Schizosaccharomyces pombe: one gene and its partner. The gene in region 1 interacts genetically with each later gene. Each region holds a gene or a part of one and is shown in the gene's direction. Other genes may lie near its edges.

The links. A genetic interaction does not mean that the proteins touch.
Region 2: mutations in amt1 (region 1) and prp24 together harm fitness more than expected from each alone (negative genetic interaction), as found in Schizosaccharomyces pombe (one large-scale study listed by BioGRID).

What each region holds. Positions count from the first base shown.
Region 1 is NC_003421.2:2,063,515-2,072,325, forward strand, and holds amt1 (plasma membrane ammonium transmembrane transporter Amt1), read left to right. Parts: upstream 1-5,464; 5' UTR 5,465-6,291; coding exon 6,292-7,785; 3' UTR 7,786-8,193; downstream 8,194-8,811. Other genes in the region: wtf meiotic drive antidote-like Wtf21, read left to right, coding at 938-1,076, 1,244-1,489, 1,537-1,782, 1,819-2,010, 2,051-2,113, 2,164-2,267. UniProt on the Schizosaccharomyces pombe protein: Transporter for ammonium to use as a nitrogen source. Under ammonium limitation acts as an ammonium sensor, generating a signal that leads to pseudohyphal growth.
Region 2 is NC_003423.3:4,133,588-4,141,086, reverse strand, and holds prp24 (RNA-binding protein Prp24), read left to right. Parts: upstream 1-1,848; 5' UTR 1,849-1,879; coding exon 1,880-2,111; exon of another isoform or gene 2,112-2,235; coding exon 2,236-2,501; exon of another isoform or gene 2,502-2,559; coding exon 2,560-5,106; 3' UTR 5,107-5,127; downstream 5,128-7,499. Other genes in the region: SPOM_SPBC1861.05 (carbohydrate kinase), read right to left, coding at 1-536; naa35 (NatC N-acetyltransferase complex subunit Mak10), read right to left, coding at 5,197-5,628, 5,674-7,368.

The sequences.
Region 1 (8,811 bases):
AAACGATTGAAAATTACTTGCCCATAGTTAATATATAATAATTAGTATGTAAACAAAAGGTAAATATAAAACCGAACAGCAATAAATGGGTGCAGGAGTATTTGATATAAGAAAATGTTGAAAATGTTGAAAATTTAATATAGTAATGAATACCAAAATTAAGTTGAATCAGTTTTTGTCTTTTCAAACGAAACAAATTAAAAAATTTTTTAAAAAAACTTTAGCATGGCTATGAACGACCAAATGCTTGAGTGAGATTTTAAATCACGAAACCCGCTACACAGTCAATTATGGTTTGCAGTTGCCAGACACGCGATTAACTATTTATTTAACCAGGCTTAGAACTACAGTGAGTTTTATTTGCGATTTAGTAAAGAGTGTGTATGCGATAGTAACGAACAACGATATTAATCATTGTTATGAGAATTTTAATAATATCATTCACACTGAACCTCATTCCTCAGTTCAGTTATGAGTTATATCGGTGACCGATACTAATAGACTTCTTATAACAATAAATATAATATTGTTAGTTAACATACCGCTTACCGCTATGTTGTAAGTCGCTAGAAATCTCGCCGCAGTGCTATGTATCGTTAAAGCAGATACCAAATTGCGTACTGACATTATAATTATACTACAACGTTTTGCTTCTCAAAAACGTTTAAGGAAATCTAAGTTGGGGTGAATAAAAAGGGCAGTGACAAAATAAATGTGTCAGAAGCAATTACATTAAAATGAGTTTTGGAATTCTACTTTTCACTTGCTATTATTGAAAAAACAGTTTGCTTTGAAACGAGTATTATTCATTTATTTATGTTGAACAGCTGAAATTGAACTCCAGAGCGAATATTCTTGATTTTGCTGTTTCGTTTGTCGCAATCATAGCAATTAATTCGCGCATGTGTTTTATTAAATAAAGAATGATCTTGATGAAATGAAGAATAATTACACTTCTTTGAAAAGTCCTCTAGATGAAGAAGATGAATTGAAGACAGATCATGAAATCGATTTGGAAAAAGGACCACTCCCAGAATATGATTCGGAGGAAGAGGGCGCATTACCTCCATATTCAGGTAAGAATTGTAAACAATAAGAAAGGAATTACTCAATGGAAAGTTGAAACTTGCCATCTTGTCAAATTGCATGCTTTGGTCATTGTTTACAGTCGGCCATGCAATGCACACAATTTGATACATGCTCTTTCTTTACTAAAGTATTTCAATCATATTAATTTAAACAGATCACGCACTTGTAAATAATCCTCCTAACACACATAGAGAAAACAATCCTTCCAGGTCGACAGATAATTCTTCCCCTTTCTTGATAAAACTGCTAATATCATTCACACCAATCTATGTACTGAATGTACTCGCAATTTGTTATCTAACGTATAAGGACGCTTTCTTTAAGGATTATGGTGCAGCAGAATGGACATTATTTGGATTTTGGTGTCTTGTTTGCACTTTGGCTTTAATATTCTTGACTTGTAAGTGAGACAATGGGTAATCTTACCTTCAGTCACTAACTCATTAGACTTCTATGAAACTTGGGTCAAGGCAGTTAAAGTAACTGTAATTTCCTTGGCAAAATGTGTAAAGGTGATTTCTATTGGCCTTTTCAACATAAGAAGAGAGATGATGATTATAATTTGGATACTCTGGCTAATCATTTGTTGTATACTCTTCGTTTACATCAAATCCGGCGATCTAATCTTAAACAAGGCACTCATCTGTTCTACATGCACTATTTCGGCTGTTTTACTTTTAATTGTATCATCTGGTAAGTGAAGTTACAATGCTAAACGCTGATAAACAGTTTGTATTCCATTTTGGACATTCGAGCGTACGTTGGCTAAGTTGGCAAAAGTGCTTTTGTTACAAAGTGGTATCGTGTTGGTACTAAACGGTACGATGTTTTTACGTGGTAAACATTTTGAACGGATAGGTTGTGAAATTGAAGCCTCTGTGTTATTTATTATGGGCAATGTTCTTTTTCTTTGCGAAATGGGTTCGTTAAATATTGCTTTACTTTATTCTAACCATGCCAGAATGTCCAGGTGCACTCATAAGAACACGAAACTCTATCAGGAATGGTATAGCTTTTATATTAGGTATGTGTATTCAACCAACTGTATGAATGATTTTTTACTTACCCGACTAGGAGGGATAGGAAATGCGATGATGGGGCTAGCAAATGCGATTAGAGGTGCCAACGATAATAATGACATTCCCTTGGGGGAAATGGATGTTGAAAGCGAAGTCTAGTTGCATTATTAATGTTGTGCTTCCGAACATCTCTATAATTGGAAAACTTTCTTTACGAAAATGGCCAACGCAAAAAAGCATATAAGCGATAGTTCATATTTTCCAGCTTTATCGCATTATATTTTTAACACATTCTTTTAAGTGTCACTAAGTTGTTTGTCCGATGTATTTACCTGAAAAATTTTAGTAAAATTTGAATGACAATTGAATGCAGTACTGCGAGATGATTTGATAATGAAATCAGAAAAGTTGAAGTTGGATTGGATATTTTTAATACTTTTTTTTTAAATTATTTTTGCAGTGTTTCATGAAATTTTGCTTTTAATGAGTCAAGATTAATTCCAACTATTTTCCTTTTTTAATAATAGCATTTGAATGTGTATAGGGTGCGGGACGTTAGTTCATCACATATTAAATACACTTTGATTGATGTTCCTTGTGTCCTACCATATCAACTGTCTTGTAGGAAAGGTCCATGATTTTTTTTTTAATGGTCAATCAATATTTTTAGGATGTCAACAAGATATCGTATAGTATCATAGCTATGCGGAAATCGCTCATTTACTGACTAAGGAATAGAGGTCAAAAGAGCTGGATTTGCAGGAACGCTAGTCGACAAAATAGATGTTAAAATCTTATGATCATAGTATGATGATTATCAGTATCATCCCATAACACTGTTCTTTGAAGAAAAGAAGCCAAGGATGAATAGTGGTGGTTAGCGATGCAAAGAAATGGGCGACAAAGTGTCAAATTCTTTCACTTTTTATAGCCAAACAACGACAAAACGTTTGTGCAAAAGGAATTGAAATGAAAAATAAAATAGAACAAAATAAAATAATTAATAAATAAGGCTCGAATCCTCAATGCTATTTGTTTTCAGTCTCCACGAAAAAGGTCGAGAAGGTTTTATTTTTTAAATTTGATACTTTTTAAAAGGATACATTGATGCATCGCGTAAAGAGCAAATAGTGTGACAATCCCAACTTGTTTTTTTAAGCGTTTATGCTTCTATTGTCGTTGCTCCGCTGCAACCTTTTTTGTGATAGAATACTCCCAGTACGTTACCTTACCAAAATTTAGAAATAAGGAATAAAGGATTGATACACTGCATTGTCTTATAAGGAGATATTGTAGGAGCGGTAGGGAGAAGAAGGAAAAGATGTGTGGATTGGAAAAAGGGAAGAAAAGAGTAAAGGAAAATGGAATGAATAAATAAATAGAATTGACGACAATTTTAGTAGTGAAAGCGGTTAGAAGGGAGGAAAAGGATTAGAAAGAAAAAGTAGAAAGCGTATTATGAAGTATTATTTTGAAGATTGAAGAATGCATTTTCTAAGTTGCTTGAGTTTACTTTATTAGGGATTGTATTGCACTTGCACTTGGGATCAGGAGTAGGATTGGCATTAGGATTAGAATAGGATTTGGGATTCCTCTTTGATCAAAAATAAATAAAAAATAAAAAATTAGAAAACTTCTAGTGCTCTCGCCAGAACTAGAACTTTTTCATGCAACGGAACGAGATGAACGGAGAAATGCGGAACCAAGATGAAGCAAGACAACAAGTCGATTAACAATGAAAGAAAAAAATATCAATATAGTCGGAAAACAAAAAGATGATTGATTAATAAGGAAAGTATGAGAAGGAGGCGGTAATTTTGCAAGCGTTTCAATTGCAATGATATTACAAATTCAAAGTAATAAAATGATAAACATACATAAACAAAAATAAACATAAATTAAAAAATAAAAAAATAAAAAATCGAAAACCAAAAAAAAAAAAATTTATTAAAAAAAAAAAAAAAAGACAAGAACAAACAAACAAGCAGATAGGGAAGTGGAAAATTACAAATAAAATTTAAAAAAACAGGGGAAGAAAAGTCAAATCAAGGTAGAGATGAATGATTCATCATGTTAGCGTTTGACAAATTAAAGATCAAAGAATTTATTAGAGATGATAAACAAGGGCAGAGCTGATTAGATGAAAGAACGATGGAGAGAAAAGAGAGAGGAGAGAAGATTAAAGAGAGAGAAAAGAAAAAAAAAAGAAAGAAATTAAAAAAAAAAAAAAAAAAAAAAAAAAAAAAAGGAAAATTAAATGAATATCCTCTTTTTTGCATGTCTCTTTCTCTTCTCTCTCTCTTCCTTCTTTTCTCCCTCCTTCTCTCTCTCCCTGCCTTCCTTTCACATACGAATATTAAACTACTTCCATGTATCCGAACGGGATCGTCGCAGGACACTATGGATAGGCCGGACGAAACAAAAGAAAAGGAAAAAGAAGAAAAACAACCGTCATAACAAGGATGAGGAGCCGATCGAACGACAAAACATTATCAAAGCGATTCCAGAGATTCCTTTAATAGCAATTTATCAACTAGCACAAATCATAGTTGCACATAACATATATCAACTAAGCACACAACATATTCCATACTAGCTAGCATATCATATATTATACTACCACATACCCTACCCTACCCTACCCTACCTCCTGCGAAACCAAGCCATATCAATAATGCCTTTTGCCTTTGACTTTGAAACGTCAAAAACAATGGAAAATTGAAATTTTTTTTTTCTGTTTTTTTGAATGAATGAATGAATAAACTGTTGAAGTATATTTTCATAGCATCTCTTTTTTTATTTTTTATTTTTTTTATTTTTCATCTTTCTATTTCCATTTCCATTTCTATTTCTACTTCTACTTGTTTTCTTCTTTCTCTCCTTTCTACTGTCTTTTTTCTCTCTCTTTAATCTTCTCTCCTCTCTCTCTACTTTTGTCTTTGTCATTGTCATTGCCTTGTTGCTCGCCCGCCGAAACAGCTCTTGTCACCTTTACACCACCCTTACATCGTTACCCATTCTAAACTCTGTTCGGTTGATTTCGGTTACAGAGTCGTCCGATTGGTTAAGGAATTTGTTCTTTTATCGTTAAATACCCTTATCTCGTTACCTATTGCCCACTAAAGCTTTAAGTTAATCTCTTTACATAATCATTGCTCGCCTTTGGTCCAATCATTGCGTCGGATATAGATCTCTGCTTATCTCGATCGTTACTTTGAACCAATCATTAAAAATATTGCTGTCCAATTGCGTCCTTGCATTTTTGCCGTTATCAAACTTGATAACCACCAGATTTTAGGGATGCTTAGAATCTGCGCGCATATAAAACCGCCGACTCTCTCCCCTACCGTACGGTTGAGACGCGGATAACCAACGTTGGCCTATTTCACCCTGCACCTTAAATCTAACGATATTCCAACCTTAGAGCATATCTTGACGCCTGACTTGCAGTGCATCTCTTTAACTTGAATTTTACGCATTTCTTGCTCTTGTGCGTGCATATTTGCTAGCTAGGTAGTTTACAAATTCAAATTTCTCTATATTTGTTTTTGTTTTATTCTTTCATTCATACTTCCAGTCTGTTGGATTCGCTGGTTCAATTTTTGTTCTCGTTGTTGATACGTGCATTTACATTTACATCTGCTTCTGCTTTAGCGTGCATTTGTTTATTTTATCGTCATCGGTTTTTGGGTGGTTGATACAGTTTTCTTTTTTTTGTTTTGTAATAGAAGAAAGAAAAAAATTTGAAAAACAAAAATAATTCAAAGTTCAAAGGAAAAGAAGAATAATTTAATTCCTTTTTTTTTTCTCTTTATTAATTTTACTTATTTTCTCGAAATTTGATTTTTCTTCTTTTCGAGTGTTTTTCTTCTTCTTTTCTCCCCAATATTCAAATATCGATCCCCTAATTTCTTCTTGGTCGTTCGATATATATATAATTTGTTGTGTTTTCTTTTTATCGTTTGGGTCCTTGATTTCCTAGGTGTTTTTTTTTTTTTGTCTCTATAGAAAAATTCCTTCCATTTATACATACCTTATTAGTCTCGATACTATTTTATTTTACTTTTACTTTTCTTCTTTTCGCCAACAAACCTCTTTTGTTTGTAATTTTTTTAATCCCCTTTATTTTGGGTTGTGTTGGTCTCTCTTCATTTCTTAATAGATAGACAAGACTTCTTGAATCATGTCTTCCACTACCGATGCCACTCCCACCCCTTCGGGTGTCAATGGCGGTGATTCCATGACCGTCAATCTTAATCAATTTTACAATAATGGTGATGTTGCCTGGATTCTCACAAGTACCGCTTTGGTGTTTATCATGATTCCCGGTGTCGGTTTCTTTTACTCCGGCTTGGCTCGTCGTAGAAGTGCCATTTCTATGCTGTTTTTGTCAATGATGTCTGTCGCCATTGTTGCCTTTCAGTGGTTCTTTTGGGGTTATTCGCTTACTTTCTCTCACGAGGGTGGTCCATACATCGGATCCCTCGCCAATTTCGGTCTTCGCCAAACGTTGGGTAGACCTTCTTCCGGTGCTTCCAGTGTACCCGACATCTTGTTTTGCGTGTTCCAAGGTATGTTTGCCGCCATTACTCCCGCTTTGGCTATCGGTGCTGCCGCTGATCGCGGTCGCATGTTTCCCTGTATGGTCTTCATGTTTCTCTGGACTTCCATCGTCTACGACCCAATCGCCTTTTGGACTTGGAATCCTAATGGTTGGTTGAACAAGTTGGGCTCTTACGATTTCGCTGGTGGCTCTCCCGTTCACATCTCCTCCGGTATGGCTGCTTTGGCTTATTCCATCGTAATTGGAAAGCGTTGTGACCATGGTACTACCAAATATCGCCCACACAACGTTCCCCACGTCGTTCTTGGCACCGTATTTTTGTGGTTTGGTTGGTTCGGCTTTAACGGTGGTTCTTCCGCTGCTGCCAACATGCGTGGTGTCATGGCTGTCGTCGTTACACATCTTGCTGCTTCTGTTGGTGGTATTGTTTGGTGTGTTATCGATTTTGCCAAGAACCGTCACTGGTCTGTCGTCGGCTTCTGTGAAGGTGCCGTCGCTGGTTTGGTCGCCATTACTCCTGGCTCCGGTTTCGTTCCTCCATGGGCTGCCGTCGTCATTGGTGCTTTAGGCGCTGTCTTCTGCTATGCTGCTACTTACCTTAAGAAAATCATCCGTGTCGATGATGCCTTGGATATCTTTGCTGAACATGGTGTTGGTGGTATGGTTGGCAATATCCTTACCGCTCTTTTTGCCGCTGATTACATTGAAGCTTTGGATGGTAGTGGTACTGCTTACACTGGTGGTTGGATTACTCACCATTACATTCAACTTGGTTATCAGCTTGCAGACACTGTCTCTTGTGCCGCATATTCATTCGCTGTCTCATGTGCACTCTTGTTTGTTATGAATTACATTCCAGGACTTTCACTTCGTGTTTCACGCGAGGATGAGGTTCTCGGTTTGGATAAGATTGAACTTGGTGAAAGTGCATATTATTACAAAGACTCTACTGACGAGCCTCCCCCAATCACTACAAGTGGCGTTCAATACACTTCTCCAACTGTTAGCGATTCCGCATCCAACGAAAAGGAGCAAGAACACAGAGCTCAAAATGAGGCTCAAAAGGAAGAGGAGTATAGAGCTGAATCTGAGGCTCAAGCTCCGGCTATTTAGGTTGGCTGTTTCTTCCCTTAATCTCGCATATGCTATTTTTTAATTATAGTTTTTCCCTAAAATTCCCCTTTCCCGTCTTTCCTGCTTCCGTTGTATTTATTTTCCACCGCTTAAAATTGATATTGTTTTACGAGAAGTGAGAGAGAATTTTGTCTTTTTTTCTTGCTCTTTTCAATGTGTGCTCCCCTTTGTATGATTTGCTCGCCCTCCCGTTTTGTTTTTTTTTTTACAAATTATTTATAGTTAATTTTGTAAACTGCTTTTTTTTTTTGGTTCCTTTAATTCCGAAGACGACGTTCATGTTAGTTTTCGCATGTGATAATAAGTTGTATTCGTTTCAAAAAAATATCTGCTTCAAGATGTCAACCGTACTGTCATTCATTCTTGTTAATAAAATGTGTTAGGAACATTAAGTTTGCTTTTGAAGAAAATTTGTAAAGTAGTTTGGTTGTGAGTTAACTTGTCAGTATAGTTTTCTTTTATTTTATGTCCTCAATTAAGTTGTGAATTATTTTTCTGTATTTTCTCGTTTCGTTCATTCGTAGAAGTTACTACTATCTGCTTACAAAATAGGTTCTGTGCTTAATATAAATGTCTCCATCCAGCCTTGCAACACAAACGTCCTTGGAAAGAGTTCTCATAAAAGCTGAATTCCAGTAACAACTTCAAAAAACTGATTGTAAAAGTGCTTTTGCTCTGTTGTTCATGGCAATTAAATATAATTTCCTTTCATTTAATATCCACATTATATATTATTTAACTCGGTCTCAATGCCAAGAAGACAACGTGGCCGAGTGGTTTTAAGGCGTTCGCCTGCTATTCTGTAGCCCAGCGGATTCCCTTTGGGAGCGCAGGTTCGAATCCTGCCGTTGTCGACATATACTTATTATTTATTTTTCGCAAATGAGCCTTTACCAGCCATTTACATTTTTTTATATCTATCAGTAGCTAAAACAATTCCTCCCGAATAGTCAGTCAGTTTGGGGCTGTACTGATAAACAAGTTAGTAGTGTAAATTGCAAGAGA
Region 2 (7,499 bases), on another chromosome or scaffold:
TCCGCAGAAATATCCATGGAATTTTCTGCCCCACGATGAACACCACCTATACCGCCCGTTGCGAATACGTCAATGCCAGCTGCTCTAGCCAAGATCATAGTTGCAGCAACTGTGGTTCCACCATTGAGTCTCTGGGAAGCAACATAAGATAAATCTCTACGAGACACTTTATATGCTGTTTCACCTGATTTAGCAAGTTCGCTTAACTGAAATTGTTCAAGCCCTATAGTACATTGTCCATTTAATAGAGCAATTGTCGCAGGAACCGCACCCATGCTGCGTACCTTGCTTTCCACTTGAATTGCCAATTCTTCATTTTGAGGATAAGGCATTCCATGAGTGATGATAGTTGATTCTAAGGCAACGACTGGTACGTTGTTTTTAAGGGCTTCTGTCACTTCCTTGGATAAGGCCAGCGGACTATATCTTCTGCAAAGTATATTCCTCAATCCAGGGTTTGGATTTCTCTTCAGCCTTCTGAACCCCAATGGAATACGTGAAACTAACCGACAACCTCTATTCATAACGATGAGCATATAAGCAAGATGCTAAGAAAAATAGTGATAAATAGGTAAATAATATAGGACAAACGAAGAAAGCGTATATCAGATAATATTAAAATCGTGAATAAATCGTACTATACGCGCTCACTCCGCGTATCTAATAAACGTAAAAAGAATGAGTGGAATAAAGTTAACCCAAAATTGAGATTTAAAAAGGACGTATACTATTAGGAATAAAAGTTTAAGGAACAAAAAATGAAAATGCCAGAACGATCAGACGACGTTTTTTATATATAATCTACCTCGGCAAATCATATCTAAACATGGTGGTGTCTGATAATAAATGTACGCTTTCCCCATGGAAAAGCCGATCACAAAAAATGTTACTTCGCCGATATATGTCAAGATAACTTTATAGTAAAATGTAAATAAAAGGAGAGCAGGCAAACTGAATACTTTGCCGGCGCTCCGAATTTACTGATACAAAACTTGGAATTGAGTTTTTTTTTGAATTCTTTTATTTATTTTGGTGTCGAAAACAATTCATATTAAAGCAATAGACTTGAATTTTGAATGGAGTTGCAATAAAATGCAACTCTATTTAAAAAAGAACTTCTTTTATCCAGGAAACCAATGCCATGACCCTTTTTTATCTATTGTGTTTAATTGTGAAACCATGTTCTGATTAAAGTATAAATATTCATTCTTCTGAAAGGAACTGAATTTTTTATGATGTTTGCATGGCTTAATTTGTCGAATTGTTTCATTATTTTTATAAAAGAATTTTACATTATTTACTATATTTTTATTCTAAGTACTAAGAGGTTTTTAAGCTGACTGAAGTGTAAAATTACTTTACCCAAAAAATTATATTACTATCATTTTTACAGAAAAGATAAAATAAGGATCAAGATTTGCCAGACTTTTGAGTTTTACCATATTCACATAATCCAATTGACAGACAAGTTTACTATAATAAAACAAATGTATATCTGTTTACAAACTATTGTTGTTAATTCCCTCCTTCAGGAAAAAATGTATCACTTCATAAAATGGTTGAACTTAGGTCTATGACTAAAAGATATTAACAGCAAACTAAGTAGTGCTATCTTGTTCTGAAGCATATTTTTACAAGTTTTATTATTCAATCTTTTAATCTCTTTCTCCCTTTTAACAATGTGCCTTGTATATTAGGATCAACCTAGATTGTTTAATATTTTCTAGTATTTTAACGAATTGCTTTTTTACTTTTTTCCATTTAACTTCCCCTTGTTTTTTAAGACTTTAGTGTTTATCTTGAAATTTACTTGACATTATACGCATGACATTTACCTAAGGAACCCAGCAAAAGCCTAGTCTTCGTCGGTTTTGACGAAATGAGTCAAATACAAGATTTAAAAGATGAGAATGTCGAAATGGATATTGATCCACAAGAACAAAACGAAAAAAAGCCTTTGCTTCTGGATGAATTGACCAAATTTACGATTTTACATCCCTATAATTATGATAGTCATATTAAACTCATTGAAGAGTTAAAGCGTCTAGATAAAAAGAAGGAGTTGTCAGAGGCTAGAAAGACTTTTCAATCGATCTTTCCACTTTCAGAAGGTATGTCAATCAACAATCGTCTAGGTAAAGCGTGTTGAGGCGAATTCCATAGACTCGCAAAAATTATTCACTAATTACTTTAACTTTGTTAATCTTTTGACAAGCATTTATTAATGGTTTTTAGATTTGTGGGTAGATTACCTTTTAGATGAGTGCAAAAACTGTAGGACTTTAGACGACTATGTGAGGATAAAAACATTGTTTGATTTGGCAGTTCAAGATTATCTGTCAATCAAAATTTGGTGTATGTATCTTGAATTTACGCTAAACTTAATGGACACTTCTTCTTTTGAACAAGAACAGTCTGAATTAAACGGCGTTATTACTTTGACAGATGCCCATTCTCTTTTTGAACGTGCATACCAAACTTGCAAATTTCATTTTTCTAAAGTAAGGAACTAAAAATTTTCTTCATGATAAAAATGTATTTACTAATCAATGTTTACAGAGTCAATGTGTTTGGACGTTATATTTGGAATTTTTACAGACGTTCGGTGATGCTCTATTTGAGGGAGAAGAAGAGCAAGAAATTGTTTTTAAAAACAAGATATATGATTTTCATATTGATAGATTAAAACTTCCACATGAGCAGATTGAAGAAACGTTTACTTCTTTATCAACGTTTGTCACAAATAACTGGTCTCCTTCCGAATATGAGGATGTTATGGTGAAAAGCAATAAAGTGTATGAGACTACACTTAAAAGAAATGCAAAAATTTTTAATAAAGAACTATTGTTAAACAGCGCAAATCATTCTCTCGAAGCGTATATGGATTTAATTAATGATGAATCGCGACGCTCAACAGCTGAGTTACAATATATAACAACTCTCTATGAGCGTGCCATAGTTTTGTATCCCCTCATTCCGGAACTCTGGTTGCAATACACTGCCTGGCTTAGTAAAGTGGATTTTTCTTCTTCTCAAGCGTCCAGTGTAGCAGAACGAGCTACTCGTAACTGTTCATGGATTGGGCGTATTTGGTCCATTAAACTGACTTATATGACGCTTTCTGGAGCATCCACATCGGCTGTCTGTGAAGAGAAAGATCGATGTTTGAATTCAAATTTGCTCGTAAATTTTGACGAGGTTATTGATTTTTTTAGCGGATTTTTAAAAGCATGCCTATATTTGTCTTCTAATGAAGATAAGCCACAGGAATTTTTGAAACATCAAATTCATAAAGTCGAAGACTATTTGCGAAAAAATCATAAGGGATCAAAGGATGCAAGAATGCGCATTGAACTTTCAAAAATTTATTTATATTCAGAAATCTCTGATTTTGAAAGCGTAGAAAAGTGCTGGTCTGATATGTTTCATGATTTTCAAAATCAGGCATTATATTGGATTTCTCGATACATAAGTACGATGAAGTATAACCCAGAGCTTGCGGCTGAGACGTTAAAAAAAAGCCTTTACAAAAACGTTGATCAGCCTCAACTTCTGTTCCAATTTTATCAATCCATTATGGACCTTAATAATGACTGTTTCACAAACACATCACATTTATATGACGTTTTAAATGCACAGAGGATTAGCTTCAAACGTCAATTGGATTCTTTTGCTGAAGAAACGAAGCAGACTGTCGAAAACACCGAACCACTAAAAGTGCCTCAAGCTGATGATACAGCCGCCCTTTCAAAGAAAAGAAAACCTGGGCAAGAAGGTGATGTGTTCAAAAAGTCGAAACCTATTGAGCAACACAGGAATAGGGAAGAACTTACAGTTTTGGTTACCAATCTACCTTCCGATATAAGCGAAAATGAGTTGAAAATTTTTTTCAAAGATTGTGGTAATATTATACGCATTTTTATCCTCGAAGACAATCAAAAGGATGTTAAAGTGGCTCAGATTGAATTTTCTGAAACCAGTGAAGTTCTTGCTGCTAAAACAAGAGACCTTAAATCGATAAGGGGTCATGAAATTTCTGTTCAAATTCATGTAGACACGAACCTCTACGTTACCAATTTTCCTCCGACTTATGATGAATTAGATATAACCAAATTATTTTCTGCATATGGTAATGTGGTTGACGTCCGTTTTCCTAGTCTAAGGTATAACACGAACAGGCGTTTTTGTTATGTACAAATGAGAAAGCCCGATGAGGCACACAATGCCCTGCAGTTACATAAGAAGCTATTGGAAGAGAAGTATCCTATTCAAGTCTTTATATCAGACCCGCTTCGGCGAACTCCTAGAAGCGGTGCTGTCTATGAGGGTAGAGAACTCTACGTTACAAATATTGATTTTAAAGTAAATGAAAAAGACGTAGAAACATTTTTTAGGGATTATGGGCAGGTTGAGAGTGTTCGAATACCGAAAAGATTTAATCAACATAAAGGTTTTGGATATGTGGTAATGACTACAAATCAAGATGCTGAAAATGCACTTTCTGCTGCTGGAAAGCAATTGGGAAATAGAGTTTTGAACGTTGTTTTGTCGAAGCCTCGAGAATCTCTAGAGAAAACAAGGGTATCATCCAATGACAACCGAACCTTAGCTAAAAGCTTTGAGACTACTGAGTCAAATAAAATGTCAACGCCAAAAAAATCATTCGAACAAATCAAAAGCAAAAGCCTAGGAGTCACTAATGTCGACGGGACTGTTAACGAGGCTAGACTTAGAAGTTTATTCGAAAGCTACGGAAAGTTGTATAGAGTTGTTCTTCATCCTGAACATGAAGGTGCTGTAGTAGAGTTTTTGGATATTCATGATGCGGGAAAGGCATCCTTGGCATTAGAAGGACATGAAATTGGTGGCAGGTTACTACACATTACCACTGTCAATGAAATGATGCACAATGTCCCATCTAGTATGAATCATTCCGATTACAATACCTCTGCTACACGCCCACGGCGACTCGGAAGCCGAACGTTTCAAGGTTTCAATTCCAATCATTCCAATATAAATTCTAAGAAGGACGATTTAGACGATAAAGAAATGCAGATAGATGCACCTAAAAGCAACGATGATTTTAGGAAAATGTTTTTAAAATAGTCAGCAATAATTAGATTGAATGATTAAAAAAATATTGAAAACCTAACTTTTGATAATTTTGATTTATTAACATAAAAGACGAACAACACCTCATGTACGTGAAAGACTTGGGAGCGGATTTCCAGGTATTTCCACTATTTTTAGATTAGCACTATGATCTTTGGATAAGATTGCAAGTGAAACCAGATTTGTAATGCAGCAACATAATAAATTTTTTAAATAGTTGGTTTGCAAGAAATACGGGTTGATGAACTCATTCTGTTCAAAACCGGATTTTATAACATTAATAAGGCTATTCTTTGCAGCAGTGAATTTTTCATTAGATTTGATGATTAAATCATCCGTAGAGAAATTTTGAAGATTTTTGATTATGCAATCAGCTTCCGAACGAAGTAGTGGCTTGGGTTGACGCAAATTAATTAAAGGACGATAATGGGCCATGTAATATGACTCTTGAATTTTTTCATCAAGAGTAAATGAAGGAGTTTTAATGATATTCAACCGCATACAAAGCACCGTCAGCTAAAATCGTTAGAATAAAAAAGAAGCGATAAGCTTTATACATACTAGTAAATAGCCAGAATAGGTCTCCTTTATAGCATTCAATATTCGATGCAAATATGTAACAAAGGTTTTGGCCATAGGTGGGGTATTACGATCCTTTCCATGAAGCTCTAAATGAGTCTGGTGGATAGAAAAGACATGATCAAGCACAGCAAAAAAATGGGGCCATTGATATGGTTGGTGAAGTTTTTGTTCAAAGGAAGAAAGCAAGATATGCTCAATTGCATTTAGCTTAACATGGTAAATAAATGATGAAAACGGTCCATTACTTGGTAGGCTTTTTGCTACGAATTTCAAATCAAGCGCTTCAGCTTCAAAATGAGCAACGGTAATTTCAGGAAGTAAATTTATTAGATTACGGCGGAACCGACAGGGATTGTGGGAACAAATTCGGACAAGGTCAACCATGATATTAGTTGAATGAGCAATCAAAGACTCAACTAGCGGACCATAGGCTGATGAGATAGAGTTTTTTTCGATTACTGTACGGGTGTTAGGATTATAAAAATTTGAAGGAAGCCCAGAAAACTCACGAATACATTCTAACATATACGAAGTAGGTTGATCCCTTAGATTAACTGCATTGTTAGCAGTGATAAGTGCTTGAAGGGAGGAACGGACGTAAGGCTCTGGAGTACGATTCAATCTCGTAAAATCTAAACAAAACTGATATACTGCCAAGGAAGAAGCGAGAGTGTGGCTATTCAAAATCAAAAGCATATCATCAGCAAAATACAAAATTCGTTGATAAGAATGCTCAATGCCAGTAGGAGGAATATTCCTCACAGGAGCTGTAGCAACTAATTGGGCTTGGACGCGAAAATCCCAATATTGCTTTAATATGCTCTCCTTGATAGATGAATCAACTACCGAAACCGTGTTCTGAATCTCGGGTACCAAATTTTTGATCAGATGGAGAGCATCGATGGTGGTCTTAATATCACTCCTTTCATACACTCGTAAAATACCAATTCGAAGTTGTATTCTATTGAGAATTCCCTCGATAATTTGTCGTAACTCGGCAGAAAATTTTATAACCTCGGAAGCCAAATATTCGATGCTAGATTGCAAAAGATAATTGAGTTTTTCTATGGGGTAATTTTGAAGAAAGGACATGTGATATGAAAACGAACTAATGTCTTCCTCGTCATATAAATTTCCCATCAGAAATTCTCGATGAACAATATCGCAACATTTAATAACAGCCAAAACAAAAGGGAAAAGAACGATGTCAGTTGTATTCCTTCCGCTACCACTGGAGAAGCCACTGTCACCCACTTGTGAAATAGGCGACTTGCAAATGGAGAACACATGGGCACTACAGAGTAAGCTCTCTGATAAGGGGGATCCATAATGCCACTCTTTTTCCGCAGAGACAATTAAATCCATTAACGCTAATATTTCCAAGTAAGAGAGATCACGTGAAAAATCTACACGAAGTGGCTGATAATCAATCCCACTATCCATTTTCGGTTCCATAATTTCAAAGGCACTGATTGAATCCAATAATGTAAATTTTGGATCACATACTAGCTGTTCCTCTTTCAGAGATTTCGTGGCTTCAAAGTAAGACTTTGTACAGTCGACATATCCAGCGTTATCAACATAACCTTCGTTCCCTTTGGCCGGTTCCACATTTCCAATCTTCACATTTCCTTGCATAGAATTAAGCAATGATAGGGACTCTTTAACAGACATAAAATCGACAAAACACCCCTATATTGACCAATTTTCTATTGAACGTCTAGTTTATGGGTTAATGAAAAGTGTTACTCTGTAAGTCACAACAAAAATTCCACGCATAAAAATGCTTGTTCAATAACATTTTC